7 linked regions of the Oryctolagus cuniculus genome follow. The protein of the gene in region 3 purifies or fractionates together with the protein of the main gene of each other region. This does not show direct contact. Links are inferred from orthologs where the notes say so. Each region holds a gene or a part of one and is shown on either strand. Other genes may lie near its edges. The genes, in order: RET, ABL1, SHC1, GAB2, SOS1, AP2A2 and AP2A1.

Evidence for each region.
Region 1: the proteins of SHC1 (region 3) and RET purify together in Homo sapiens (affinity purification with western blotting; 4 studies listed by BioGRID and IntAct, with this or other methods). This does not show direct contact. The link is inferred for Oryctolagus cuniculus from reciprocal best matches to the Homo sapiens genes SHC1 and RET.
Region 2: the proteins of SHC1 (region 3) and ABL1 purify together in Homo sapiens (affinity purification with western blotting; 5 studies listed by BioGRID, with this or other methods). This does not show direct contact. The link is inferred for Oryctolagus cuniculus from reciprocal best matches to the Homo sapiens genes SHC1 and ABL1.
Region 4: the proteins of SHC1 (region 3) and GAB2 purify together in Homo sapiens (affinity purification with western blotting; 6 studies listed by BioGRID and IntAct, with this or other methods). This does not show direct contact. The link is inferred for Oryctolagus cuniculus from reciprocal best matches to the Homo sapiens genes SHC1 and GAB2.
Region 5: the proteins of SHC1 (region 3) and SOS1 purify together in Homo sapiens (affinity purification with western blotting; 14 studies listed by BioGRID and IntAct, with this or other methods). This does not show direct contact. The link is inferred for Oryctolagus cuniculus from reciprocal best matches to the Homo sapiens genes SHC1 and SOS1.
Region 6: the proteins of SHC1 (region 3) and AP2A2 purify together in Homo sapiens (affinity purification with mass spectrometry; 4 studies listed by BioGRID and IntAct, with this or other methods). This does not show direct contact. The link is inferred for Oryctolagus cuniculus from reciprocal best matches to the Homo sapiens genes SHC1 and AP2A2.
Region 7: the proteins of SHC1 (region 3) and AP2A1 purify together in Homo sapiens (affinity purification with mass spectrometry; 4 studies listed by BioGRID and IntAct, counting the BioPlex papers as one, with this or other methods). This does not show direct contact. The link is inferred for Oryctolagus cuniculus from reciprocal best matches to the Homo sapiens genes SHC1 and AP2A1.

What each region holds. Positions count from the first base shown.
Region 1 is NC_091446.1:85,322,927-85,326,986, reverse strand, and holds the end of RET (proto-oncogene tyrosine-protein kinase receptor Ret), read left to right. Parts: intron 1-12; coding exon 13-160; intron 161-1,270; coding exon 1,271-1,428; 3' UTR 1,429-3,560; downstream 3,561-4,060. UniProt on the Homo sapiens protein: Receptor tyrosine-protein kinase involved in numerous cellular mechanisms including cell proliferation, neuronal navigation, cell migration, and cell differentiation in response to glia cell line-derived growth family factors (GDNF, NRTN, ARTN, PSPN and GDF15).
Region 2 is NC_091432.1:233,356,130-233,360,195, forward strand, and holds the start of ABL1 (tyrosine-protein kinase ABL1), read left to right. Parts: upstream 1-1,266; 5' UTR 1,267-1,281; coding exon 1,282-1,441; intron 1,442-2,134; coding exon of another isoform or gene 2,135-2,233; intron 2,234-2,379; exon of another isoform or gene 2,380-2,762; coding exon of another isoform or gene 2,763-2,898; intron 2,899-4,066. Other genes in the region: uncharacterized protein, read left to right, coding at 2,135-2,233. UniProt on the Homo sapiens protein: Non-receptor tyrosine-protein kinase that plays a role in many key processes linked to cell growth and survival such as cytoskeleton remodeling in response to extracellular stimuli, cell motility and adhesion, receptor endocytosis, autophagy, DNA damage response and apoptosis.
Region 3 is NC_091438.1:43,538,890-43,543,189, forward strand, and holds the start of SHC1 (SHC-transforming protein 1), read left to right. Parts: upstream 1-1,500; 5' UTR 1,501-1,736; coding exon 1,737-2,231; intron 2,232-2,771; coding exon 2,772-2,842; intron 2,843-3,338; coding exon 3,339-3,402; intron 3,403-3,519; coding exon 3,520-3,639; intron 3,640-3,867; coding exon 3,868-3,921; intron 3,922-4,111; coding exon 4,112-4,163; intron 4,164-4,300. UniProt on the Homo sapiens protein: Signaling adapter that couples activated growth factor receptors to signaling pathways. Participates in a signaling cascade initiated by activated KIT and KITLG/SCF.
Region 4 is NC_091432.1:69,487,453-69,491,652, reverse strand, and holds the start of GAB2 (GRB2-associated-binding protein 2), read left to right. Parts: upstream 1-1,400; 5' UTR 1,401-2,124; coding exon 2,125-2,202; intron 2,203-4,200. UniProt on the Homo sapiens protein: Adapter protein which acts downstream of several membrane receptors including cytokine, antigen, hormone, cell matrix and growth factor receptors to regulate multiple signaling pathways.
Region 5 is NC_091433.1:163,753,097-163,757,368, forward strand, and holds the start of SOS1 (son of sevenless homolog 1), read left to right. Parts: upstream 1-1,472; 5' UTR 1,473-2,090; coding exon 2,091-2,177; intron 2,178-4,272.
Region 6 is NC_091432.1:452,252-455,751, forward strand, and holds part of AP2A2 (AP-2 complex subunit alpha-2), read left to right. Parts: intron 1-1,792; coding exon 1,793-1,935; intron 1,936-3,482; coding exon 3,483-3,500. UniProt on the Homo sapiens protein: Component of the adaptor protein complex 2 (AP-2). Adaptor protein complexes function in protein transport via transport vesicles in different membrane traffic pathways.
Region 7 is NC_091449.1:7,772,822-7,776,823, reverse strand, and holds the start of AP2A1 (AP-2 complex subunit alpha-1), read left to right. Parts: upstream 1-1,202; 5' UTR 1,203-1,347; coding exon 1,348-1,414; intron 1,415-4,002.

The sequences.
Region 1 (4,060 bases), on a different chromosome or scaffold from region 3:
TCTGTCTTCCAGGACTACCTAGACCTGGCCGCGTCCACGCCGTCCGACTCGCTGCTTTATGAGGATGGTCTCTCGGAAGAAGAGACACCCCTGGTGGACTGTAATAATGCTCCCCTCCCTCGCGCCCTTCCTTCCACATGGATTGAAAACAAACTCTATGGTAGAATTTCACATGCCTTTACTAGATTCTAGCAGCACTGTCGCCCTCTGCCCTCCCTCTGCTGTCTGTAACGCTTTCCTAAGAGTGTTTCTGATCTCAACGAAACCAAAGCCCGCTCTCAACCCTTTTCATTTGTAAGTGTCTTGACTCTGCACCCAGTTTACACTTGGGCATTTTTGCAACTCTGTTTTTCCAAAAGGATGTGAAAATAAGCCTCATTGCCATGAGGAGAGAAAGGTGGGAGAGAGGGAGGGAGAGAGATGGGGCCAGAGCACTCAGGGGAGGTTGAGAAAAACCACAGGAATGTCCCATATGGGGTGGGAAGCAGGCAGTGGCCCTGCTGATGCAGGAGGGAGCAGCCAGTGTCCCCAGCCTGCACTGGGGGGCCCCAGGGGCACCTGTGGGACCAGCAGGCAGCCCCACTGCCACCCCCAGCCGCAGGAGGCAGTGGGAGGGCGCCCCCGCACGGCTGTTTTCACATCCTTTGCCTTCCCCACGTCTTTGACTGTTGTCACTCATGAAGCCAGTGCTAAGAGCTGGTCTGTGGTGCCGTGGTGTTGCGATGGACAGTAAATACCGGTTCTTGCCAAAACTCCTGCTTTCGTCTTCGATGAAGTCCTTGCCATTTCTCCTGTTTCCTAACTCCCCTCCTGGTCCGTTTTGAGATCTCGGCGTCGCGAGCCATGTCTCAAGAGTGTTCCTCCCGCATAGCCTCCTGACTCACTGCCTGAGTGCCCACAACCCTGCAGGGTTGGCCTGCATGCGCCCTCAGTGGGGAAGGTCCTCTCCTCCGGTGTCGGCCTGGACGAGCGGCGAGTAGGCTCCTTTGAGTCAGAGAACATTCTAGAGAGCGTTCCCACTGCCCTAAGCTGTTGAGAAAAAAAATATATATATGTATATATATATACATTATACAGTTCCAATCCGCATCTGATTTGAGATGGAAGCTCCTGAAAGTCAAAATCACGTGCTACTTGGGAACCCGGAGCAATGGTCCCGGGACCCGCGAGTTCGGTTTGAGCCCCTAAGGGAGTTTTGCCAAGGCCTTGCTGTCTACACGTGAAACGCGGGGTCTTCGGTGCAGAGCGAATGATGTGTTTTCATTTTTAGGCATGTCAGACCCGAGCTGGCCCGGAGAGAGTCCTGTACCACTCACGAGAACTGATGGCACTAACCCTGGGTTCCCAAGATATGCAAATGATAGTGTATATGCTAACTGGATGGTTTCACCCTCAGCGGCAAAACTAACGGACTCCTTTGATAGTTAACATTCCTTTGGGAAAGGTAACGGACTCGCCAGGGGGAAGAAACAGGCCAAGCGTGGGAAGCCACCAGCACCGGCTCCTTTGGTGCACATCACACTGGCCAAGCCAAGTTCAGTTGCCAAGGTGGCAGACTCGTTCCCGGTAGTTGGTGGTCACTGGTCCCCCCAAGCGGTTTTGACCCCAGTAAGCCGGTGACTTTTCCCCCGCACCAGACCACGTCCCCCCACTGGGACGAGGGTCCCGAGACTCCGTGGCTGAGCAGTCCCTTCTCAGCGCCCTGTCGGTGTGTGACCCTCTGTGACTGCCGTGTGCTCTGTGTCCCCCTCGTGGGTCTGCCACTACCTTGTATAAGTGATTGTACCTGAACTGTCTGCTTTTTATGGTTGCCGCCAAACAGAGCAACAAGGATTAAACATGAAGCACACAAGCACACATGCACACACATACACACCTGTACACACGAGGCAGGAGGGACGCAGTGGGGCCAGAGTGACCCGTCCCTGTTCAGGCTGAGAGCCCGGTATGGGGCTGGGTGGTGGTGTCACAGTCTTCCTCCTGCCAGGGCTGGAGGGGATGTGGGGGTCTCAGGATGGGGTGGGGGGCTGGGGCCGCGGTTCAGCATTTGAGGTCCCGAGAAGGTTCTGTTTTTGTTTTGTTGTTGAAACCATGTAACCTTCTCTTAGAAAGACGTTTAGTCATTATATCTCAATACCAATGGTTCTTAGATTTAGCACAATGGAGAGAGAGTCGCTTGCTATGTCGGTAGCAGCGGCCTTGGGGGAAGAGGGCTCGCAGGTAGCAGCGGCGTGGGGGAAGAGGGCTCGCAAGACCCGTCTACCCGTCCTGGGCCCGCTGCACCACCCTCGCGTGTTCAGTCCCGAGTGACCAGAACCGGATGAAGAAAAGGGAGTGTCTGGAGTTGCAGTGGTCTCCAGTCCCAGGACCACTGACAGCACAGGCCTCTGCTGTCCCCACCCACCACTGGCCTGCCCCTGCACCAAGAAAGCAACTGCAGCTCGGATTGCGTGCTGGGAGCTGGTGGGGCCCCTGTTCACTCGGCTTGGTGCGGTAGCCACTTAGCCCCAAAGGGACAGATCTGGCTGTGTTCCAAGTAGCCCTGGCAGTGGCCCGGGCCGGGCCCCTCCCTCTGGGCACATTCTGGAATGAAGAGACCGCGTTTGGCTCTTGTAGAGCTCCCGCCACAAGCTCACGGGTCGGCTCTCCCTGTGTTTCTCATTTGATGCTGCTATAAGCAGGGCGTGGTCTGTTGCTTAGATTTGTGACCGTGCCGCCTACGGAAGCTTCTTCACTGTGGCCACATGCATTCGCTGCCTTGTGGGGGAGGGGCTGTGTGGCTCTTGGGAAGTCCCAGCAGCTCTTGCGGCCGGCTGAGCCTTGTCACTGCAGGAAAGGGGTGGTTACTAAGACACGGCCTGATCCTCAGACTTCAAGCGCTGTGATAGGACTCCTGAGAGTCTTGTTGAAAATACTGTACTTCGTGGGTGTTTCACAAAGGCAGTGCAATCTGGCGTTTGGGGGTGGCCAAGAGAGCTTGGGCGGGGACGCGAGAGAGCCTTAGGGTTACGTGTGTGCACACACAGGAAGACAACTGGCAAAGTGTGTACTGGACCTGTAGCCCGGCTTTAGTTTGAGCCACTTTTCAGATACACTGTGATACATTCTTTTGCAAATACCTAGAAGTCTAGAAGTCGTGGTGAACTTGATGTTCAGATGTGCTTAAAGAGAGTCTTACCAAATGCAGACGTAAAGAGGCACTCTCCCTTTCCAGTGCCTTGTAGCTGTGGCAGGTTTATTCTCAGCGGGATGAGAAGTCTGGGTCTTCCCGGCTGACCCAGTGTTGGGGAACAAACCCCTGACTAATAGTCCAGTTGTCTGCTCCTGAGTTATAGAAGTGTGCATCCTAACAGTCCCAGCAGACAAAATTCTGACCACGTAGATGCAGACTTGACTAAGTATCCAGTATTACTGAGTGTTAAGTAGTAACCAGTTACTGAAATTTGTAAAACCCATTATGCAAAGGTATTCAATCATACCCTGTTCACTTGGTTTTTTTTGTAATCAAGGTGACTAAGAAAACAATTTCAGTTGTGTAAATAAAATTATGTAACACAAAATGTGTCAGCTTTCTTTTCTCTGGAACTTCCTCCTTGCAAACTTCAGATTTCTGATGCTTCAGTGTTCCGTTGCAAGAATTAAAATGTTGCCAGAAACTCCTGATAGCTACTGGGGCCATCCACCGGTGGCCCAAGGGCTAGGGCTTCCTGCTGTCACTGGTTCGTCCCACATGACATGCACACATGCATGGGAATAGGCTGTCAGTTCAGCCAGCTCCACTGTTCAAGGAATTCCTTCCTTCAGCTTCTCTGCCGGGAATAAAACAGCAAACATCAGGTTTAGTAGTTTGCTCCCTGCTGATGGTCTTAAAAGGTTTTTTTTTTTTGTGAAATTATTTATTCGAGAGAAAGAAGAGAAAGAGTGAGAGAGAGTTCCCTTTCACTAGTTCTATCCCCAAATACCCGTAACAGCCCGGGTTGGCTTAGCTAATATGGGGAGCTGGGAAATCAATCCAGGTTTCCCTGTTTAATGGCAAAGCACTCTTTTTTTTTTTTTTTTT
Region 2 (4,066 bases), on a different chromosome or scaffold from region 3:
AGGTACAAGCCCTTAAAGACATCATTCTGTGGTGTTACACGGGGGGTTATAAAGCAGAGTGCATCTCCAGGGAGAGAGGTACGGCCAGGGCGTGGGGCTCTCCTGTCACTGGGAATGGAGACCAGGACAAGTCTTCAGGTCAGGTGCAGCCCACAGTGACTTCCGGGAGCCTCAGTCACCGTCTCCGTGGAAACCCACGCCAGGTCTCGTTTGGACCTCAGGATGACCTCGTAAGGGAAGCAGCCCCGAGCCCCACGAGCAGGTGAAGGAGCCAGGTGGGTCCCCTGGGAAGGTGTCGGCGGGCAGGGGGGAGCAGCTGGCAAAGGTGCCGGGTCCGAGATGAGACTCCCAGCGTCCAGACGGCCCCTGCCCCTCGCAACACGCGCTCTGAGCGCGAGGGCAGCGTGTCCACCGCGGCACCCAGCACCGCCGGACGCCTGCTGGGTGCGTCTGTTGGAGTTCTGATTCGATTACCCGGATTTTAGCCAAACTGGAGGACGAAGACGTGGAGGAAGTGAGTGAAGCGTGCATGGGCTCACAGGAAAAGCAAACGCCACCCCCCGCCCCCCCACTAAAGAAAAGTGAGGGCGCTGAGCAGGGTCAATGGTGGGAGGGACCGATGCCGCCGGTCAGGGCCGCCCGCCCGCGCGAAGCCCAAGCGATTAGCCCCGAAGACCCTCAGGGCCCCACCTGCTGCGCGTCCAGGGACCCCAGGGGCCCTCTCCTCGCGAAGCCGGTGCCGGTTCCCAGCCCAGCGGAAGCCCCTGCGAGACCCCTGGCGCCCCCGCGGCGGGGGCAGCGTCCCGAGGCCTGGGGCGCACGGCAGAGAGGAGGAAACCCCAGCCCGCTTCCGCGTCCGCACTCGGGGAGCCGGCCCCGGGGCGCAAGGCGACGGCGCACTCGACGGAGGCCGGCCCCGGGCCCGGGGCGAGCGCTGCTCCTGCCCGGGCGCCGCCCCTGCGGCCCTGTCTTCTCCAGCGCCGGGGTCTGCAAGGGCGCAGGGGCGGAGCGCACCGAATCCCCCGGTTTCCAGGAAGGAATCCGACTCCGGTTCTCGGAGAATCCGATCCACAGCTTGGCCCCTGCTTTGGCGCCCCGCCGGCCAGCCCGACGCGAGGCCGGCGAGAGCACCGGCTCCGGAGAGCTACGGCCAGAAGCGCTTCAGCCGGGAGCAGCGCGCAGGACGCCTCGGCGCCGCGGGACTACAACTCCCGGCACGCCCCGCGGGCTGCGCCGACTTCCATTGGCCGAAGCCTCCAGCATGCCAGCCCGCGTCGACCAATGGGATGGAGGAGAGAGGCCTGGCCAGGATCCTCGGAGGCCAATCGCAGTACAGGGGAGGCGGGCGCTTCCTTACCACTCACCTTGCACTCGGAAAAGTCGCCTTTAAAAGGTCGTCCCGGGCCGGGCTCCTGCGAGGCACTGAGGCCAGAGCCAGAAGGTGCGACGGGGTCCCAGGAAAGCGGCGCCGGGGGCATCCCAGTCCACGCGAGGCGGGCTCCGGACGGCGCCGGGGGGCGGGGCCGGGGGCGGGGCCTGGCCTCGTTGTGGAGCGGCTCGTAATCCATCATGGCGGCCGCGGGGGTCGGCCACTGTCCCTGAGCAGCGCCGAAGTCGGAGCCGGTTCCTGGGTGCTGCGGTTGAGGAGCCCCTTCGTGGCCCACGGCCCCTACCGGCGGGGGGCAGGCGGGGTCCCTCGGCGGAGTTCGGGGGATGTGACTGCTTGGCGGCGGCGGCAGCGTCCGGGGCCGCGGGACGGGGGTGTCTCGGGCAGAGACCCCCGGGCTCGGGGCAGCTGAGGCGGCCAGGCCTCCTCTCTCGTCGGCCCGTCTCCCGCCTTCGGGCCGCGCGAGTCTTTCGTCTCTGCAGCCCCGCCGCGGCTCTGGGACGCCCCCCCCCCGGGGTGGTCTCTGTTCGCTCCGGACGTGGGACGCCCCCGTTTCCTGAGGCGTGGAGAAGCGTCGCCCCCCGAGTAAGCCGCCCGTGCCCCGCCCCGGAGTCGCCCCCCGCTCCCGCTGCCGGCCCCAAGGCTGGCCGCCGGAGACCCCCATTCAGACCCGCTGCGTGCTGTCAGGTGGCCTCCCATGGCCCGCCAGGTTGCCCCCGCCAGCCTCTGATGCCCTGACTTCTTCCAATGTCACCTACGGCCCCCTTGGTCTCAGCCCAGCCAGAAACTTCCATGCAAAGGAAGAGCCTGGATTGGTTTCACAGGCCTTTTAAAAAGCGGACTTAAAAGTTGCTGGCCATGCATTCCGTGCCGAGCGCGCCGAGATCCGGCTGACCCGCGCGTCCTTTTCCGGAGGGCCGGGGAGAGCGAGGAGCCGGAGCGCAGCCGGCCCGGCCCGGCCCGGCGGGAGCTTTGCTGGGGGACAGGCGCGGGCGAGCACCCCGGGGCCCGCGACGCTGCCGGAAGGACTAAGGGATTGTCGCCCTGCGCCCCACCGCTCCGGGAATAGTTCTGCTTAGGTGCGTCTTCCCAAAAAAGAAAAAGCGTGGTTCACTCAGTGGAGTATCCTTAAAGACGGCGAAACCTTTGGGGAGTGTGGGAATCACCTTACTCCCCAAAGCCCGAGGCTGGGAACAGTCAGCGGGCCCCCCGTGTCCATGCGTGGAGCCCCCGGCAGGTGCCTGCCCGCGACTGCCCGTGCGGGCCGCCGTGGCGTGGCGGGCATGCGCTGAGTGTGGAAGGCCCCGCCGAGGCCACCGACCGTTCCGGAAGCTCCTGGACCCTCTTCTGGAAAGGGGAGCCCCGCGCTAACTTTATGGGGCAGCAGCCTGGAAAAGTTCTTGGGGACCAGAGAAGGCCGAGTCTGCCCGCCCTGCACTTCATCAAAGGAGCCGGCAAGAAGGACTCGGCGCGCCATGGGGGCCCGCACTGCAACGTCTTCGTGGAGCACGGTGAGTGTCGCGGGCGCGTCCCGGCGGCTCCGCGGGTGCCCGTGCCTGCCGCGTCCGCGGGTGCCCGTGCCTGCCGGCTCCGCGGGTGCCCGTGCCTGCCGCGTCCGCTGGGCGCTCGCGGTGGTCCCGGAGCCTCGCGTGGAACCCGCTTAGTCCTGGAAACGGTGTCCTGGTGCCTGCGTGCCCCCTGCACACCGAGCCGTGCGCCGCGTCCCCTTGGTGCTGACCCGGGGCCTCCGTTTCCCGACCAGGTGGCAGTTAGCTGGCTTCTTCGCGGCGGCTCCCCGACTCGCGTGGGTCCTTAGCGAGCCCGCGTCTGTTCTCACGGTTTGGGAACCTCAGGTCTCAGTTGACACGGAACCCCCTGGCCTTTAGGAGGGCAGTGGGGCCCGCAGACGCTCCCCGGCTCTGCGGGAGAAGGCAGCGTTCGGGGGCTGAGCCCGGAACTCCCCGCGGCCGGAGCCCGCGCCCGCTTCTCTCCCGGTGCAGGGGGACGCTGGGCGCTCTGGCGTTCCTGTGGGCGTCTTCTCTTCACCTCCAGTGATTCTGTGGGGGTGAAGCAGGGGTCGCCTGGCCGCCGTCTGAAACAGAGGTCGGACCACTGAATCAGCTTCGTTCGTTCGTGTCCTTTACCTTAACATAGTATCCTGGGTGGGAGGGGGCGCCACCTGTGATGCGGCATCTCCTGTGGGTGCAGCGTCGGTTCCTGGCTGCTCCACTTCTGATCCAGCTCCCTGCTCATGGCCTGGGAAAGCAGCAGAGGACGACCCCCGGGGCCCCTGCCACCCATGTGGGAGACCCGGATGAGGCTCCTGGCTTCAGCCTGGCCCAGTGCTGGCCGTCGCGGCCATCTGGGGAGTGAACCAACAGCTGGAAGCTCCCTCTCTCTGTTACTTTTTCAAAATAAATAAATCTTTAAAAAAAAACACCTTAACTGGGGGGCAGGCGTCATGGCCCAGTGAGTTAAGCGCCCCTTGGGATGCCCACATCTGTATAGGAATGTTGGGGTTTGAGTCCTAGCTGTCTCCAGGTTCCGGGTTTTTGCTGCTGATGGGTGTATCCTGGGAGACGGCAGACGATGGCCCAGGTGCTTGGGCACCTGCCACCCACATGGGAGATCCAGATGCAGTCCCAGCTCCTGGCTTTGGCCTGGCCCAGCCTGGGACTG
Region 3 (4,300 bases):
CTTGTCTGGGCATTCCTCCTGGCTCCACTTGTCCTGCCTTCCCTGCTGGAAACATTCCTCAGGCTTTCGCCATTTCCTGCCCCTTCCCGCTCCTCCCGCCTCCTCCCTGCTGGGCTCCCCCCTCCAACACCCAATCACCTGAACTTCCAGTAGGCTCTCACTTCTCCCTATGCAAATTTAGAGACAGACTCCCTCTTTTCTTTGAAATGCTCACACCTGTTGGTCATCCTCTGCCTGCCCATACTGCAGGCTTCCAGAGAGTGCTGACCCTAAGGATGAGGGTGTGTGTGTGTGTGTGTGTGTGTGTGGCTGTGGAAGAAACCTTTCCTTCTCTCGGCCTGGGGTCTTAGGAAATAGAGTGACAGATTCTCCTGCCATGAGGACGAAGAGGAGGTGAGAGCGTATCTAGCACATTTTAAGTGCTAGAATTGGTCATCGTTATAGATTTCTTTTAATCTTCTGACTTAGAGCTAAGGGTAATTCCGAGGTGAGCCTAGGGGAAGAGGTATCTACTTCTTGTGTTTTGGTCATTTTCCAACTTCCTCCAAGGCTTCCTCAAGCAGAGCTGTGGCAGGAAGCCACGGAGGTTTGGAGGTTTGGGACTGTTCTCCGCACATGGTTCACTGCCACATGTTTGCCTGCCTCCTGACCTCCATCGCTTGGTGACTCCTCCCCTGGTGTGAGGGGCACTGCTGGAGGAGGGCTGGGAGGATACCTGGTGGGCCCAGGGACTGCCCTGTCCTCACCCTTGCCAGCGTGCAGAACAGTGCTTGGCCACTGGCCACTGCCTGCTTGGTGTGGTGGGTGCCAGGAGCAGAGGAGGAGGCTTGACCCACACGTCCTCTGGCTGCAGCTCTAGCCTGCTGGCTCCTTGGTGGCCCCCTGGGGTTGGGCTTTTATTTCCCTGACTTCCCAAGTTTTGCCCTTCCTCTGGGTCCCAGTGTGCACCCACTGGGACCACTTCCTTCCTTTTCCCATTTCCCTAGTTCCATTCCACAGCTGCCCTGGAAGAGGATGCTAATGGCCTAAGCTCCCTGGGGCCCTCACCCCACTGGATGTGGCAGTGATGAGGGGTGGCCTGGGCTGGACCATGGAGGAATTTGCGTGTTCCAGCAGGACAGGAAGGGAAATGCTGAGCTCTGGGATCTCCTCCCTTTTCCACCCCCAGCTGCCTCTGTTTCCTCCCTCATTCCCCCTCCCCTCCCCTGACTTCCTGCCCATGTCCGGTTTGGATTGATCCAGACCGTCTCTTATCTCCCTCCTCTCCTTCCTCCTCCATCCTTTCCTCCAAACTCCCACTTCTCCCCCAGATCACTAGTTGTTTGTTTAGGGTAGGGGAGAGGGGCAGGATAGCTCTGCCCCTGCCTGAGTTCTGGGCTGGGGCGGCGGCAGTGGGGGCTCAGCCCCTCTGAGCCTGTGAGTCAGCACTGTCCTCCGGATTGGTCTCTCTCCTTAGCTCCCCGCCCCTGGGGAGGAGCCAGGCAGCTCTGGGTCCAGCCTGTTCTCTTCTCTGCCAGAGAAGAGGCTCCACGCTGGGCGGGGATGGGGCCTGAAACTGTCTGGGTCTGAGCTGGGGGAGCGGAAGCCACTTGCCCCTCTCCCTCCCCAGGACTCCTGCCCCTCCTGGGCCACAGAGGCCCGGCAGGCTCGGGGCCTGGGGATGCCCCCTGCCTGGCCCCCTTGCCCCAGCTGGCAGGGGGGCCGGGCCGGGCAGCAGCCCTGCTCTCGCCCCAGCCATGGATCTCTTGCCCCCCAAGCCCAAGTACAACCCACTTCGGAATGAGTCTCTGTCGTCGCTGGAAGAGGGGGCTTCAGGGTCCACCCCTCCGGAGGAGCTGCCTTCCCCTTCAGCCTCGTCCCTGGGGCCAATCCTGCCCCCTCTGCCCGGGGACGACAGTCCCACCACCCTGTGCTCCTTCTTCCCCCGGATGAGCAACCTGAAGCTGGCCAACCCTGCTGGGGGCCGCCTGGGGCCCAAGGGGGAGCCAGGAAGGGCAGCCGAGGATGGGGAGGGGATCACAGGGGCAGCCATGCCGGACTCAGGCCCCCTGCCCCTCCTCCAGGACATGAACAAGCTGAGTGGAGGCGGCGGGCGCAGGACTCGGGTGGAAGGGGGCCAGCTGGGGGGCGAGGAGTGGACCCGCCACGGGAGCTTTGTCAATAAGCCCACGCGGGGCTGGCTGCATCCCAACGACAAAGTCATGGGACCTGGGGTTTCCTACTTGGTTCGGGTGAGTGAACATCCTCCCCTGCACTCCCTCCCATACCCCTGCAGCTCCTCTGCTCGCGGCAGCTTTGTGGGACTCCTCCTGCTCTCCCTCAGCAGCCCCTCTGTCGCCGCGTCCTGCTTCTTAACCTTTCTGCCTGATCTCTGACCTCTTCCAGCTCTGCCAGGGCCCTCCTCCTTCTTTTGCCTACCCACCCCCACCCTGCCATGCTTCGCACAATGCCCAGCACCTCGGAGGCGAGTGTGGGCATGAGGACTCCTGGACTCCCCCCGGTGGACCCCTCCCGCTTCTGGAGGTGTCACCCATCCCACCCAGTGCCCAGCACTGCCCTCCAGTCTCCCCCAGTGCATGAGGCGCTCCCAGCTTGTCCTCTCTCTCTCTCTCTCCTCACTCCCCGTTGTCTTGTACATTGTGGGATGTAGCTGCGGGCAGTGAGCGAGCTGCCTCAGCTTTCCTTCCCTTAGGGACTATGGAGGGAAAAGTCCTAGGGCCCTAGCGCTGGGGTGGGGGGAGGTGGCTGAACTGCTGTCCCCCTCCCCTCAGTACATGGGCTGTGTGGAGGTCCTGCAGTCAATGCGTGCCCTCGACTTCAACACCCGGACGCAGGTCACCAGGTTAGTGGGGGGGAGGGGGAGGGCTTGTGGGAGTCCTGGGGTTAGTAAGGCTGTGGGAATGGGGAGTGGGGCCCTTGGTGCAGGTGGCCTACCTGTGGGTGGGCAGGTGGGTTGAGAGAAAGTTGGGACAGTGAGTCCAAGTGTGACTGAAAAGAGACACCTCTGGGCTGGATCCTTGTTACCTCTCCGGCCTTTAGAGTTGTGGGGCTAGGGCAGAAAGTGGGGTTAGACCGGTGGTGGCTGCTGCCTTTGGGAAGGGAATGGGAGGTTTGGTGGCTGGAAGGGGGTGGGGCCGTACCCATTGAGGCCCTAACCCAATCAGCCAGGAAGCGGCCTCTCAGTGTCATCAAATATTAAAGGCCCTTAATTCAATCCACCACGACAAAGAGCCTGGAGTGCCCTGGGAGTCTGGCCTGGCCCTCCCCTCCCCCAGCCCTGTGGCAGCCCCAGCCGAGTGGGAGGCAGCCTGTGGGTCTGAGCACCCCTCTTTCCCCAGGGAGGCCATCAGTCTGGTGTGTGAGGCTGTGCCGGGTGCTAAGGGAGCCACACGGAGGAGAAAGGTACCTGGGGTGGCTGGGGCTGGGATGGTGCTGGGTGATGTGGAGGGGCAAGGGGAAGGCAGAAGTGTTTCCTGGTGTCGGGAACCCTCGGCTTCTGAGACTCTGGGCCTTTTCTAGCCCTGTGGCCGCCCGCTCAGCTCTATCCTGGGGAGGAGTAACCTGAAATTTGCTGGAATGCCAATCACTCTCACCGTCTCCACCAGCAGCCTCAACCTCATGGCCGCAGACTGTAAACAGGTTGGTGGGGTTAGGTAGGGGGTACCAGAGACATGGGAGGTAGGGCTAGGGGCAGATGTAGTTGTGAGGCCAAAAACTAAGGTGGAGGGCTTTGGAGTAGCCAGAAGGTAGGAAGAAGTTAGGGTGAGAAGCTAAGAGAATGAGGCTGGGACGGCAGGGTTCTGGGCCAGGGGTGGGGGCTGACACATGCCATTCTTTTCCTTTTCCATCCCCCGTGCCAATTCTCAGATCATTGCCAACCACCACATGCAGTCTATCTCATTTGCGTCCGGCGGAGATCCGGTGAGTTGGGGAACAGAGCACAGGTTGGGGGGGGGGAGGGGAAGGGGCTAAGGATTGGGAAGCCATCAGCCAGGGCAGTGGGGGAGGTAGGGTTGCAGAGGTATTTGAAAAAGACTGGGTTTAGGCATCAGGAGTAAGGTGGAGCTGTAGAATTTAGCTAACCTGCCCCTTCTCACTCTGTCTGTCTTAGGACACAGCCGAGTATGTTGCCTACGTTGCCAAAGACCCCGTGAATCAGAGAGGTGAGGCATGGTGGGGCGCACTGGGTGGGGCGGGATGGCGGTGCGGCAGGTGAGGGGGACCAGGGCCGCCCTTCCCCTCTCACCGAGCAGAGATGAGGAGGGGCTTCTGCTGAGGAGGATCAGTCCCCCACACCCCC
Region 4 (4,200 bases), on a different chromosome or scaffold from region 3:
ATGTGAGTGAAGTCAGAAGGACTGCTTTATTTTGGTTGGGAGTGACGGTTTGGCTGACCATTTTGATATTTATGTCTCACAAAGCCAGAAGTTTAAAATGGCCATAATTCTAGTGGTAGCCCTCGCATACGGTTCAAGAATCCCTGAGTTGGAACAGTTGGAACGTAGCCTGATCATTCTGGCTTTGTATTTTATATAACAGCACACCGGATATTGAAGACAGTGAAGTGGTGGGCCCAGGGGTGCTGATCGCGAAACCTTCCAGGATGTCTAGAAGAGCTGAGCACATAGCAGGGGGCTAACATTTGCAAACTGAAAGGGGTGAACTTGCTCCAGCCCAACCAGTATCTGTTGATTCAGATGATGTCCAGCTGCTTGAAACAACAAACTGAAATGCATGGAGATGGAGAAATGAGCAAAATAGCCTAGTCTAGGTAGCAAGGGAGCGGCACCCTGCTTCTCACACTGATAAAATGGTGACTGTCCCCTTCTCAGAGAAGTTAGGGAAAGACTTACCTTTCAATGCTCCTTATAAAGGAACTGAGTTAAAAAAAAAAAAATAAAAGCTCCTACACAGCTCCTCCCACCCCCCTTGAAATATTGAGTTCCCTGTGTGCTTCCATACACTATTTACCTCCGTTAAATCACAATGAGAGGCTATCATTATATCCCAGTTTACACAGAAGTCTCAAGGTCTACCTCAATGAGTTGGAACTCTGGGAATGTTGACACCATTTCTTTCTTTCTTTCTTTTTTTGACAGGCAGAGTTAGACAGTGAGAGAGATACAGAGAGAAAGGTCTTCCTTCCGTTGGTTCACGCCCCACATGGCCGCCACGGCCGGCGCTGCGCCGATCCGAAGCCAGGAGCCAGGGGAGCCAGGAGCCTCTTCCTGGTCTCCCATGCCGGTGCAGGAGCACAAGCACTTGGGCCATCCTCCACTGCCCTCCCGGGCCACAGCAGAGAGCCGGACTGAAGAGGAGCAACCGGGACTAGAACCCGGTGCCCATATGGGATGCTGGCGCCGCAGGCGGAGGATTAACAAAGTGAGCCACGGATCCGGCCCCGACACCATTTCTTGTTCTGCCCCACCTTGCCTTCCAATTCACCATGAAATACACGGACCGATGCTTGATTCCCTGATGCTACAAACCATCCGGGTTTTCTTCTACTGAATTCCATTTTCCCAGAGGCAATGTGGGAGGGCACCAGCTGGACTTGGTTTCCTATCAGTAAGAGGCCCCCAAGTGGATCCGCAGACATTAAAGCAATTCACCCATCTGAAACAGCGGAGGAGCGGGACCGACCCCTCCTCCCCGCCAACACCTGAATTAGAAACCCGGCTACGCCCGGAGCTCGCTTTGGGCCCTGAGGCGAACGGTGAAACGGTCCTAATACCGCCCGCCCAGTTTGTAGATGCAGAGACAATCATGTAAATGATGAATGCAAAAGCTCCCCTGCACTTAGTAGGTCTGGTTTCGGGCTTTCCTGCTCCCGCCACGGGTGTGCGCGAGTCCCTGAAACGCCTGCAGAAAAGCAGGTCACTCCTTTCAACTGGAACCTGACCCTCTGCAACCCGAAACTCTGGGAATGGATCGGGAAGGCGAGCGGCCCGCAGATCCCCTCTCTCTCCACACTCCACGCAAAATCAATCTGCGATGGCGGGCAATCACCGCCTCCCACCACACCCCCGCCCCCCGGGGCGCGGCCGCCTCCCCCGCCCGCTGCCCGAGGCTTGGGGGAAAAAAGCAAGACTCCAGGGGGCGCGGCCCCACGGCTTTCCGCGCGCTCGCGGACCTCCGGCCTCCCGAGCCCGGAGCTGCCGGGCGTCCTCAGCGTCCGGCGAGGCCGCCCTACTGGGGGCGCGGCGGGCAGTGGGCGTGGCCAACGCTCCGGCCTTCCTGCTGGGGCGCCCCGCCGCGGCCGGGAGTGCGCGAGTGCGCGCGCGGGGCTTCGGGCGCGCGCCGCAGGCGGGCCGCGCCGCCTTGTCCTCACGCTCGCCCGTGGCCGCGGGCCGCCAGCCCCTCCCCTCCCTGAGCTGCGCACCGCCGGCCGGCTGACCCAGCAGCCCGCGCCCGCGCCCTTGTCGCCGCGTCCCGGCGGCGGGCTCCAGGCGGCCGGCAGCATGAGCGGCGGCGGAGGCGACGTGGTGTGCACCGGCTGGCTGAGGAAATCGCCCCCCGAGAAGAAGTTGAGGCGCTATGTGAGTGCGGGCGGGCGGCTAGCGGGCGCGGCACCTTCGGGGCGCCCCGGGCCTGCGAGGGGCTGAGGGCTCCGGAGGGGCGGCGCCGACGGGGAGGGCGGGTCCCCGCGTCCTCTGGGGGGCGAGGAGCGGCGGGCGCGCCCCGCGGCTCGCCGGCGCGTGGGGCACCTGCACACCTGTCACAGGTGCGCCGCGGAGGGGCGGGGCGGGCCGTGCCAGCGGGGTGAGGCTGCGGCTCGTCGGCTCGGCGGGCGCGTCGGCCGCGCCTCCCCAGCCAGCCTCGGTGTGAACTAAATCCGGTGTGGAAGTTTGTATTGATTGTTTTCGGAGACCGTGAGAGTTGATTCCCGCGCCCGGGGCACCCTCGCAAGCCCGGAGCGGCTTCAGCCCGCGGCGAGGGGGCGCGGGCCCCACAAAGAACCGGGCGCCTCGAGCCCTCTCCCCTGCCCTTTCTCTGCCGGCCCCTCCCGGTGGCCGCGGCTTCCTCTCCGTCCCCGGGCGCCGCATCACGGGCGGCGTCAGCGGCATGTGCAGCTCGTGTGTTAAGTGACTCATTTGTTTGTCCCCTCTTTCCCTTTATTCTGTGTATCTCTCGCCTTCCCCTCCGTCCCCCCCTCCCCGCCCCCATGGTGACACTGCAGTTTGGTCCGCTAATAACTGGCCCCGGTTGGCTGAGGTGCCGCCCTTGGGCGTCTGGGGTCGGGGAGATCAGGGTTTCGGTTGCCAGGTGGTGCTAACCGGCGTTGTTTACTGAGACCGCGGGGCAGCCACTCCCCTCCAGGGAAGAAGCCGGCAGCACCGGGCCAGGTGGAACAGTCGGGAGCTGAGACGTGAGGAGTTTGGGTTTTTCTCCCCCTAGCCAGAGGGTGCCTTGTGTGGTGAGGTCAAAGTACAAGATGGTGCCAGGTCCTGAGATTCGGCTGCAATCAGCCTCAGGGTAGTCACAAGGAGTTTGGAAAACGGAAGGAAGGCTGCCAAAGAACGGTGTCAAGGTCTCCCATCTTCCCCCTGCTCGCATCCCAGGCTGTGTCCTTGTTGCACCGATGTGCGTGCTGGGCTCAGGGCTCACTCCCACAGCCTGGAAGGGCGCCTCGCCTTCCAGCTGCAGTGCATCAAGGGAGCTCTGAACAGACCCTGCCCTCTGTCAGCTGCACCCGTGGCGGGGGGCGGGGGGCAGGAGCTTACCAGAGTTTCCTGTCTTGGCTCCCCAGTTCTGAACCAAGGGACTGCTGGCCTCTGGACTGAGGAAGTGACATTCTGTTTTTCAAAGGAAGTGTTGTTGTTGGGGAGTGCAAATGTGTGTGTCAATGAAATCAAGCTCTTAGATCATTCGTTGGGGAAAAAAAAAATCTAAGGATTTAGCACATGACATTTGAAAGTGGACACAGATTTAACATAGTGGGGATGAGGCAGCGAAATGTGTCTCACCATTTTATAAAGCTCATTTTGGGGTGTCAGTGTGAAGCAAAGTATTATAATCACTAAGAGAAACTTTTTTCCTTCTTAGGGTTTTATCAGTTTACTCAGAAAATTGAGTTTTAATTAGGGTTAAGGAACAAGTCCTTTGCTATTAACATTTATGTAAATATTTTAAAAAATACCTTGTCCTACAGAGCTTTCAGATATACCATACCAACTAGTGGAATAGCATCCTGTCCCCCCCCCCCCAAAAAAAAGAGGAAAGAAATGTGACTCTTCAAATTAGAACACTACCCTAAGGAACCTTGAAACTTTGTTTTTAAAACCATTTGCAAACAAGCAAGTTGACATTGTATCTACATTTGATTGATGACTACTTTGGTGCTATCACTCAGACTGCCTTTATGACCCATTTCATGGGTATTTGTGTTCACAAACAACAGTTAGCTCAAAATAACCGTCTAAACCACTTGACTCGCCCTAGATGGCGGGTCTCAGCCTGTCTATCACCTGTCTTCTATGCCGCTGCAGGCTCCTGACCAGACTCACAGCAGCTTTCCTTAGGCTAGAATGTGATGT
Region 5 (4,272 bases), on a different chromosome or scaffold from region 3:
GTGCTTCCTCCTGGTCCTGGTCTCCCATGAGGGTGCCGGGCCCAAGCACTTGGGCCATCCTCCACTGCCTTCCTGGGCCACAGCAGAGAGCTGGACTGGAAGAGGAGCAACCGGGACAGAACCGGCGCCCCAACCGGGACTAGAACCCGGTGTACCCGCGCTGCAGGCGGAGGATTAGCCTAGTGAGCCGCGGCGCTGGCCTGAAATGTATTCTAAGAGCAACGAAGAGCCAAGGAATAGTTGGCAGCAGACCACCAGTGTAGGCTCACTCCTTTAGAACCACACAAAGCCTTTTCACCTATATCAGCCCTGTAGGTAGTGGAAGGGGTCTAACACGTTCTCCACTGAGACGCCCCCAACTCGACTCCAAACAATGTAGGTTCTCCTCTTCCAGAGGACTGACTGACGGGTTTCAAAATGTCACTGAACACTTCTGAAAGTGTAAATCAGGCATGCCCATTTTTAAAAGGAAAAAGCCCAAGACTTGATTCAGATTCTCAGAGAAGTTCTGTAAAGATTAAGATGCACCGCTTAAACATTTCTCAGCTTTGGGATCCTGGCTATTGTTCCATGGACCAGCAGGACACAAATGCCAGCTCAACCCAGGCTAGTCCTCTGCACTGTCTTCTCTGTGAAATGAAAACATGATTGCTGTGAGGGCTCAGGGAGCGATACTTTAGTGTTTAATGAAAACCACGAGGTGTCTACCCAACAGTGGTATTGGAAACCAACATCTGCAGCCCTGGAACCGAGGGACAAATTTATACACTGCACCTTTAGCATTCCACAAGCATTCCCTGGAGAAAAAGATCTGCCTTGCAGGCGTTCACGATCTAACCAAAATGCCGGGGAAGATAGAAAACGCAAAACAGACCAAGTGAGGTTCTCTGGAACCTGGGAACCGCGTATGATGTCCCACTTTCCAGGGCAGGGAAGCACTGACTGGAGTTGGTTGTCTGATGTGGGTTTGCGCAGGCTGAACCTGAACACCCATTCTACCCTTGCTGTGGAAAGGCCGGCTGGAAACATCGCAGTCGCTTCTGCCACCTGACAAATACTGAGCAGAGGGAAACCTATCTTTGTGCAGTCTGTTTACTATACGTTGCACGCTCCGAGCAGCCCTTATCCTCATGGTCGGGAACAAAGTACACACACAGACCCAGACACACACACACACCCCTTTCCGAAACCAAGGCCCGGGGACTCCAAGAGAGGGGTGGGATCCCTCGCGGCGCGGCCACACAATGGGGGCCGTCTCAGCACAGCTCGCCTCCCACCCCCACCCGCAGGCCCCATTCGGCCAGGGTTCGACTTCTCGGGCCCCACCGCCCCTCCCCTGCAGCCCCCGGGAGCGCAGCCACAGCCGGGCCCGGCGCCCTCCCTCGCCCTCCCTCCTTCACCGGGAGCCGGAAAACCCGGAGGGAACCGGCCCAGCCCGGCGGCGCATGCTCAGTAGCGCGCAGGTTCAGTTCGCTAGTAGGAAGCTCCAGCGCTGCACCGGCGGCGGCGGCGGCGGCGGCGGCCGCGGTGCAACCCGGCGGCCGGAACCCCAGCGGCGACTTCGGGCCCTTCCTCGCCCCCGAGCTCCCTCCCGCTCTAAGACTCTAGCGTGTCGAAGTCCTCGCTGGGCGAGCGGGCGCCGCGGCAGGAGCGCCCCTCCACACGCCCTCCCCCTGCCGCCAGCTCCTCGGCCGGGCAGGCCGGGCCCGGAGCGGAGCGTAGCCCCGGCAGCGGGCGGGCGGGCGGCGGCCGCGGCGGAGGGCAGCTCGGGGCGGCGCCGGCGGGCCGGGGAGGGGCGGGGGGCCTGGCCCCAGGGCGGTGGTGCGGCCGGGATGCCGCCGCCGCCGCCGCCACCTCCGGGCCGTGTTCGCTCTCCGCGGCTGGTGCCGGTGTCGGGCGGGTGGCCGCGCGCGGGCCTCGTCCCGCAGCCGCCTCTCCGGGGCTAGCCCGGCCGTGCGGCGCCCCGAGGGGGCCGGGCCGTCCGGAGGGGCCGCGGCCCTGTTCCGCGCTGCGAGCTCGCCCTCTCGCGGCTTCCCGGCCGGGCCGTCGCCGCCGCCCCTCTCCCCGCCCAGAGGCGCCCCGGGGGCACCATGCAGGCGCAGCAGCTGCCGTACGAGTTTTTCAGCGAGGAGAACGCGCCCAAGTGGCGGGGGCTGCTGGTGCCTGCGCTGAAGAAGGTGAGGAGCGCGGGGAACCCCGCTGCCCGGCCGCAGCCCCCGAGGCGGGCGCCGGGTCGGAGCCCGGCCGGGGAGGCGGGGCGCGCGCGGGCAGGGCCGCCTTTCTTCCCGGTCCCTCCGCAGCCGGCGGGCGCTCGGCGGGGACGTGCCCCGGTGTGTGGGAAGGCAGGCCGCGGGGAGAGGGTCGGAGACAGCAGTCGGGGGAGCCCCGGGGTTCAGCGGAGGTCAGCGCAGGCCACCCCTCCTCCTGGCCGGTCTCTTTGCCGAGCTGCTGTCAGCCTCCCGGTTGAAGTGTCCGGGACGCTCCTTTCACTGGCCCGATAACGCTCTGGCCATCATGTTTGCTGCGAGCTTGCCTGCCGGCGGCAGCATGGCCTGCTTTGCTCCCTCTGCGTTCTCCTGGGCACCCCCTCCGATTAACGAGGAGCTGCTACACATGCCAGTATTTTCAGACTTATTATTTTTTGACGGTTGAAAATCTTGGTGATGTCATTTGGGTTAGAATTTTTAACCTCTGTTTTGTATGTTTACGTTGGCCACATTGTTATCTAAAGTTATATAGGAAATGTTGCTACATTTTGTTTGTAAAGCAACGTTGTGACAAACACTGCACGTTAAAAACATCAGAAACTGGTGTGTGAGTTTAAAAACAACTGGACTGTTTTCGTTTCCTTTTCTTCATTTCTTCCTTTTCTGGTGGGGTGGCTTTATGCTTTCAACTGTGTGTCTAAATCCCAGTTTCTTGTTGCCCAAAGAATGTTTCATGAGATCTGGTTAAAATACAGCTTTGCTCCTCCTGAGGGCTGGGGTTATGGTTAGTCTTTCATGGTAAACATTTCCACTTGAACACAGTGTCTTAAAAGGTGTCTGAGTTTATCCAAGGCCAGAAGCTTTTACTTTCTTTTTTTGCCCTGGTCTCCCCCTCCCCCTTTTGCAGTCTTACAGTGGAACCTACTTAGTTAGCAAAATCTGCTCATATATTAAGGATTGAACTACCAACTTTTCCCCCTCAAATGTTTGGCTAGTCATTAACATCTCTTTGGTGTTTTCTAATAAAGTGTGTTTTGTGTGTGTGTGTGTGTGTGTGTTATCGGTATACTTCATTCATTAGAACTCCTACCAGGTTCTCCATCTGTTTAGTTGTGCTTTGCCTGCAAGTGTGTCTTCTTGTGATAGAAGGGGAGTAGGAGGTCACAGTGGTGCTAGAAGCTGGTGTTCCATCAGGGTAGAGGAAAATAAAACAGTTGTCTGAAAACATACCCAAAAAGCCTCATGAAGCATTACTCACTTGGGGTCATTTTGCTTAGAAGCTTACAGGTCCCATCCCAGGGGAACCACCGGTCTGTGGGTTGAGGATCCTTGGAAGTAGTGCAAAGAATGGCATTAGAATTGGCAGACTCACTGTCTGCCACGTGGGGGGCCCTGCTGGGATCTGTCCTCAGAAGAGTTTTGTTTGGCTGGCACAGTGTTGTTTATTGTTAAGTGTTTACACATGGGAGATATTACACAAAATCTGAATTCACAGCTTTTGTTGAAGAAAAATCTCTCCACTCAGGTCCCACGTGAAAAGCCAGCCAGTGACCTGCTGCGGGTGCATGGATAGCTGCCGTCTTTAGACAGGTGCACATTGGCGTTTACAAAGTCCTCAGCAGTCCCCTTTGCTTGTTTACATAAAACAATGCTTAGGTGTTTATTGACTTGAAAGTTTGGGCAGTGGAGAGAGAGGGAGAGTGAGAGAGAACACCTTGCTCTCCTCTGCTGGCTAACTTTCCCAGTGCTCATAATGGCGAGGACTGAAGCTGGGAGTTGGGAGCTCCAGGTTTCCCATGTGGGTGACAGGAACCCGATTACTTGAGCCGTCACAACTGCCTCTTGGAGTCCATATTAGCAAAAGCTGGAATCAGAAGCCAGGGCCTGATATTGAACCCAAACTCTGGCTTAGCAGCTAGGCCAAACGCCCACCTCTACACAAAGGGGCTTTTGACTCTAACAGAGTTGCCCTTGGAATAGAAATGATGGGAGGAGGTAGAAGTGTACAGTCTGACTGATAAATGTATCTTCCAATTCTTATCCAACTGTCTACCAGCAGGGAGTC
Region 6 (3,500 bases), on a different chromosome or scaffold from region 3:
TGTGGAGTCTCTGGCCTGCTGTGGTCGGGGGGAGGTGACGCCCCTCCTTTCCCATGGCTTGTCCTGAATTTTTGACATGGAGGATAGTCTAGGGTAGGTTGTCTGCTGTAATTAATAAATGTATTTAAGGGCCGGCGCCGCGGCTCACTAGGCTAATCCTCCGCCTAGCAGCGCCGGCACACCGGGTTCTAGTCCCGGTCGGGGCGCCGGATTCTGTCCCAGTTGCCCCTCTTCCAGGCCAGCTCTCTGCTGTGGCCAGGGAGTGCAGTGGAGGATGGCCCAGGTGCTTGGGCCCTGCACCCCATGGGAGACCAGGAAAAGCACCTGGCTCCTGGCTCCTGCCATCGGATCAGCGCGGTGCGCCGGCCGCAGCGCGCCAGCCGCGGCGGCCATTGGAGGGTGAACGAACGGCAAAGGAAGACCTTTCTCTCTGTCTCTCTCTTTCACTGTCCACTCTGCCTGTCAAAAAAATAAATAAATAAATAAATAAATAAATGTATTTAAAAGGTGTGGCAGGGCCAGCCCCGTGGCGTAGTGGGTGAAGCTGCCACCTGCAGTGCCAGCATCCCACATGGGCACCTGTTCAAGTCCTGGCTGCTCCAGTTCAATCCAGCTCCCTGCTATGGCCTAGGAAAGCAGTGGAAGACGGTCCAGGTGCTTGGGCCCCTGTACCCATGTGGGAGACCCAGAAAAAGCTCCTGGCTCTGATCGGCCCAGCTCCGGCCATTGCGACCATTTGGGGAGTGAACCAGTGGATGGAAGACCTCTGTCCCCCTGCCTCTCCCTCTGACTCTGACTTTCGAAATAAATCCAAAAACTTTAAAAAAATAAAAAAAGATGTTGTTTGTGGCAGGCGTGTGGTGCGGTGGGCCCAGCCTCCCATATCCGAGTGTCTTTTTGAGTCTCGGCTGCTCCGCTTCCAATCCAGTTCCCTGCGAACGTTCCTGGGAAAGCAGCAGAGGACGGCCCAAGTGCTTGGGTCCCTGCACCCATCGGGGAGACCTGGATGGAGTCTTGGGCTCCTGGCATTGGCCTGGCCCAGCCCCAGCTGTTACGGCAATTTGGGGAGTGAGCCAGCAGCTGGAAGATCTCTGTTTTCCCCCCTCTCTGCCTTCAAAAAAATACACGAACGAGTACATCTTTTTTTTTTTTTTTTTTTTGACAGGCAGAGTGGACAGTGAGAGTGAGAGACAGAGAGAAAGGTCTTCCTTTGCCGTTCGTTCACCCTCCAATGGCCGCCGCGGCCAGCGCGCTGTGGCTGGCGCACCGCGCTGATCCGATGGCAGGAGCCAGGAGCCAGGTGCTTTTCCTGGTCTCCCATGGGGTGCAGGGCCCAAGCACCTGGGCCATCCTCCACTGCACTCCCTGGCCACAGCAGAGAGCTGGCCTGGAAGAGGGGCAACCGGGACAGAATCCGGCGCCCCGACCGGGACTAGAACCCGGTGTGCCGGCGCCGCTAGGTGGAGGATTAGCCTAGTGAGCCGCGGCGCCGGCCCGAACGAGTACATCTTTAAAAAAGAAAAGATGTTGGTTCACGGCAGGATTTGCAAATTCCTTGGCTGCAGGTGGGATTGTGGAAGGTGTGAGGGAGGCCGGGCCGGCTCGGCGGACTGCCTTGGCCCAGGGTTGTCTGGGAGGCAGAACCCGCCGTGCCAAGTGCTCTGGTTCTAAGAAGGAAGCCCCAGGTTTGTGCTCGGACGCAGCGCTGGTTGGAAGTCGTGTGGAGGGGAGCCCCCTGTCTGCAGCCGTGTGGACGGGCCCTCGGCCTGCGCTGATCTGTTCTCTTCTGCAGGTGACAAGGCTCTCGACGGCTACAGTAAGAAAAAGTACGTCTGCAAGCTGCTCTTCATCTTCCTCCTTGGTCACGACATTGACTTTGGACACATGGAGGCCGTGAACCTGCTCAGCTCAAACAGATACACGGAGAAGCAGATCGTGAGTGCCTCGCGGGGCCGCGGGGGGCAGCCCCCACGAGTGTGGACTGGCACGGCGTGGAGCCACCTCTCGTGGGTGCCTCATGTGTCCACCCTTCCGTGGTCACAGGCAGTTTGTTTCTGAAACAGGTGCCAGGTTAGGTTGCCCCCGGCCCCAGCCCGCGCCCCAGCCCGTGCCCAGCCCGCTCACGTTTCCGGAGCTTTCTCAGGGCTGCAGTCTTGGCCGGCCGTGTTCTCTTGTAGTCCTGTTACTTCCGTGTCTTCCACGTGATGAAGTCACGTGTTCGTATTTGTGAAGAACTTGAACTCACAGCGGTTACAGCACACTCCGTGCCTCAGGGTGTGCAGTCCAGTCGGCCCTGCGTCCACGGGTACGGGGCTGGAGACCCTGGGAAAGCAGTCGCGCCTGTGGCAAGCAGCGCAGGGTCCCTTTGCCGTCACCGCCCGGCGGCGCGGCGTGCAGGTCTGTGTGCAGCGCTTGCACTGTGCTGGCTGTGCAGGTGCCCGGCCGTGCTACAGAGGGCCGTGCCCCTCAGGGGAGTCCTGGAGCGAGTCCCTGTGGTGCTCAGGACTGGTGGCGTTGCTGTCTGTCCCGCAGTGCACCAAGAGGCCTGCGCTGGAGACCCTTAGTAACTGAAGGCCGATGGGGTCGCGCCCTTGTGCAGTGGGGCAGCGGCATTGATGTAGAGTTGCAGCGTGAGGGGGGACCCGAGGGAGGAGGGCGGGCCTGCTGGACCGTGGCCCGGCGATGGCGTTGCCTGGATCAGGTGGGAAGCGCGCAGTGGACACAGCAGACACATCTGACAGGCTGCACGTGGAGGAGACCACGTGGCAGAGCTGGCAGTGACCCGGGCTGCGTTCTGGGCAGCTGGATGCGAGGGGTGGCAGTGACCGTGCAGGTGGGGTGACTCTGGGGACACAGGTTCAGAGGGACAGACGGAGTAGGCAGCGTTTCTGGGAATCCCAGTTTGTCACTGGGTGATGTGGGTTTGGGCTGAGCAGTGTGGGGGGGGTCTGGTCTCTGAGGACATCAAAGCCAACTTGTCCCAGAGCAGTGCTGTCCTGTTGCGGGCCTTGGACTCCTCCTCATCCTCCTCTTCTTTCTCCTCCCTCCTCCTCCCTCCTCCTTCCCCTCCCCCTCCTCCCCCCTCGTCCTCTCCCCTCCCCCCATCCTCCTCCTCCTCCTCGTCCTCTCCCCTCCCCCCCATCCTCGTCCTCCCCCCCTCAGTGTGGCGATGCTCCCAGCTGCATGGAGCTCCCAGCTGCGTGGAGGGCACAGCTGTGCGGAGGGCGCGGCTGTGTGGAGTGTGGAGGGTGCGGCTGTGTGGAGTGCGCGGCTGCGTGGAGCTCCCGGCTGTGTGGAGTGCGCGACTGTGTGGAGGGCACGGCTGTGCGGAGTGTGTGGAGTGCGCGACTGTGTGGAGGGCACGGCTGTGCGGAGTGTGTGGAGGGCGCGGCTGTGTGGAGTGTGGAGGGCGCGGCTGCGTGGAGCGCACGGCTCGCTCCGGTGGTCACGAGCCTCTGTCCTCGTGTCCTCTGGAAACACAGGGCTACCTCTTCATCTCC
Region 7 (4,002 bases), on a different chromosome or scaffold from region 3:
GTGCACAGCCTGAGCTGGCCATCCTAGAATCCAGCACGGGCTTGCCCCCAAGCCAGGCAGCCCCGGCGGACGGATCCACCTGCTCTTCCCGCTTGCACCCCCGACCCGACCGCCAGCGCCCGAGACGCACCCCGCGGGCTCATTCCCGGAGGCCCCGCTCCCCAGGTCACAGGAGGGCGGCAGGTCCAGGGCTGGAGGAACGGCCCTCCCCGCGCCCTTGGCCCCAAATTTCTCAGCAGCCCGGGGCGCCGGGGGTCTGGCAGCCGACGGGCCCGAGCCCCCCGGGAGGCGGCGTGGGGCGGCAGGGTCGGGCCGCAGCCCCTTGCCCGCTGTCCACCGGGGTCGTCCGGCTCCATCGCGGCTGGCGGGGACAGGGGGCGGAGCATGCGCAGCGAGACGCTAAAATAGGATTAAGTTCGGGTTCCTCCACGTCTGCGTCACTCAGCCTCTCGCCAGGACGGAGTAACAACAGGTCCTGCCCCTCCGGGAGCCCAGGTCTCCCGACGCGTCAGATCCACACGCGGGGGCCGCGCAGCGAGGCAGGGCCCAGCCAGGCTTCCCGGAAGGGGATTAGGGCCCTAGGGCTGCGGGCGGGGCAAAGGCCACACATTGACGCCTGCGCAGTCGACACCTCACGCCGTCTCGCCCCGCCCAGCCCCTGCTCTGCAGCAGGGAATTGCAGGCCTCGCTCCACCTATCCCAGCCCAGCTGAATAACACCCCCTTCTTTTTTTCCTTCTCCACCAATGGTCGCGCTTCGCCCGCCCCCACAACTGTCCAATAGAGAGCGGAAGCAGGACACGCCCCGCGAATGCGCGACGCCTGCGGGGGCGGTCTACCCGCCCATTGGTTCCGGTCAACCCAAGTCCCGCCTTCTCATGCGCTTTCTCCCCCGCCCTCCTTCCGTCCCTCCCTCTCCCCGTGGAGAGGGGCCAGATCCAATCAGCGCTGGACTCGGCCGCGCGAAGGGGGCGGTCCTATAGTGCGTAATGGAACCCCGCCCGTCTCTCGGGCAACGCCCCCTCCCCCTCGCTCCCGAACGGAAATAGCGGTGTACTGGACCAATCGTAGTGGCGTGCCTTTGCCTTGAGACCAATGGAAGAGGGAGTCGGGGGCGAGCCCGCGTCTGAGCGGCAGTCTCCACATCCAATGGGCAGCCGAGAGCTGCCCCGGGCGAAGAGGCGGGGAGGGGTCAGGGGCGGTGCCACGGCCCGCCCGCCCGCCCTCCCCCTCGGCCGGCTCGGCTCCTCGGCGCTGCCTGGGGGTCCTTTCCGCCCGGTGCCCGCCTGCCAGCGCCCGCTGTGCCGTGCCCCGTCCGGCCAGGCCTGGAGCCGACACCACCGCCATCATGCCGGCCGTGTCCAAGGGCGATGGGATGCGGGGGCTCGCCGTATTCATCTCCGACATCCGGAACTGTGAGCTCGCGGCGGGGGGACACGGGAGACGCGGGGGAGGGGGCAGCGTGGAACGCGGGGGTTTGGGGGTCACCGAGGGACCGGGCGGGGTCCAGCGCCCCTGCAGGGGCGGCGGGGGGAACTTCGGGGGGAGGGGGCAGGGGTGTCATGAGGCGCCTCAGGAGGTGACGACGCGGAGGGTTCGAGGCCCCGGGTGGGTCGGGAAGGGGAAGACGTTGGACAGGTCCCGGGGACGGAGGCGTGGAGGTGCCCCCCGGGAGCGGTGGAGAGGCAGGGGCGCCCTTACAGATGCTGGCTCGGAGACCCCTGCGCGGGGGGCCTACGGGAGCCGGGCTGAGGGGGTGTCAGGGACGGAGCGGGACCGGGGAGCGATGGGCGGCGCAGGAGTGCGGGGGCCGCGGAGAGCCGCTGGGGAGGGCCTCGGGCCGGCGGAGGGTGGACAGGGGCCAGAGGGGGCAGGAGGGACTCCCGGATCGGGGGCCCGGGGAGTGGGTGCTTAGGGCCCGTGTCAGAGGGGGGTGCCCAGGCCTCCAGGAGGGGTCAGGGTGCTCAGGGCTTGTGGGAGAGATTGCAAACCTGGGGGCGGGGGCGGGAAGCCTGGTCCTGGAGAGAGAGCGAGGGGTCAGGGGTCAGGGAGCGGCCGGGCCCGGGTCGGAGCCCTTCCCTGTCTGGGGACTGTGATCCCGGCGGCCGGGCAGTTCCCGGGAGCGGCTGCTGGCGCCGTCCGCGGGGGCTTGGGTTCGAGGGCAGCAGCTCCGGGAGCTGAGTGACCTTGGCGGAGGGTGGGGGCAGCCCTCGCGGGGCCCTGGCAGGTGCGGCTGCATCGGGGAGGGCCCGGGGCGCGTCCGGAGCTGAGCAGTGCGTGGCAGGTGCACCGTGAGCACTAGGGAGGCCGTAGGGTGTCAGCGGAGGGAGGGATGGTGTGGTTGATAGAAAGGGGGTGCAGGGGGGTGCGGGCGCTTCGGGGGGCCCTGCGAGGAGGGGGGCCCTCGCCCATCATTTAACCCTCTGGGGCCCGGTGTTCTTGTCTGCAAACTTCGCTCCCTGCTTGGTGCGGGAAGGCAAGGCGGGCAAGGCGGGACGAGGCCCTGCTGGACCGGGCTGGTGCCGAGAAGAAGGATAACGGGGGGGGGGGGGGGGCTGCCGGGTCCTGGGGCGGCCGCCTGCTTGGGCCGTGCTCACGGGAGCGAGCGGCAGGCAGAGTGGCCAGGGCCCTGGTGAGCCCTCAGTCTCCCCTGTTTGAAAATCATTCCCGCGGCTGCTGGGAGAGAAACCGGCGCTGGAGGCGAGGCCGATGCCCCGCAGGGCCGAGAGGGGACTGGTCGGGTTTGGGGTTCGTTTTGAGGGCTTGGGGGGCTGGGGAAGGAATGACAAGAAGGTGTCCCACAGGCCCCGGGAGGTGGGGCCCCAGCACCAGGCGCGGGGGAGCCCGTCAGGGAGGGCCCTGTCCCTTCTCAGCCGGTGGTGTGCTGCGCCGCTGTGTTCTGGGGTTCGTGATGGTGCAGGGGACCCCGAGGCTCCCAGCCCCACGGGGGAGGAGGCGTGGAGGCTGGACGTGGTGGGCCACCCCGGGAAGAGGCTGAGTACCGGCCACTGGGCCCTGAGGACTCTGTCACTTGGTTCCGTGGAGGTGGCCCGCAGGACAGGGCAGTGGCCGCCCCGGCTTGCGGGCTCCTCGGGGGTGACAGCGTCCTGGGATTGGGCAGGGGGCTGCCTGCCCAGCTCTGAGTGTCCGGAGGCCATGGGACTGTGCGCTTTCAAAGGGTGCGTCTCGCGGCCTGTGAATTGGAGCTCACTTTTCTCCCTGGAGAGTGGAAGGCATTTGCCGCTGTCCTGAGGCCAGTGAGGGCCGTGACGTTGAGAGAACGGGGGCTGTGTCTGGCCAGAGAGCCCAGGGAGGCTCTGCTTCGCCGGAGCCGCTGGGAGCCGCGCGGGCAGGATGTGGGGAGCGAGCCAGGCCACGTGTAGTGGAGACACGTGGGGACGGCAGAAGGCTGGCAGGTGCCAAGGTCCTGAGGCCGGCCCGGGCCTCTGAGCAAGGCCTGCGTGTCTGACGCTGGCCAGGTGGGCAGGGCCAGGCTGGTGTTTGTCCTGAGAGCTCGGGGTGGGGGTGGGGGGGTGATTCCAGGCAAGAGCGGATCATGGGGAGAGGGGTGGACGAGGCAGGGCTCAGAGCTGGGGGGGGGGGGTGTCTGGAAGGCATCTAGAAAGAGGAAGAGGAAGGGAGAGGAAGGGCCAGTTCTGCCCATGCAGAGGGGGAGAGGCCTGGCCCGAGGGCCTGGAGCGGGATCCTGCCGAGTCAGTTATCTGACAGGGAGCTGCTCTGGGCCCGGCCCCGCTGCCTGCTATCTGGGGCCCCAGCGGTGGGCCAGGCTGCTGAGGGGGGCGCTGGCTGGGTCCCCAGTTCTGTGCCGGCTGCGGGAGGCCTCAGGATAAGTTTGTTCCCTGACTGAATGCGTGGATGAAGGGAGGGGTCTTCAGTGGGCACCTGCTGAGTGCTGAGCACTGTTGTGGGTGACGGGGCCCCTGCCCTGTGGAGCACCTGTCCCACGGGCCAGCACACAGCAAGTGTGCCAGGCGTCCACCCG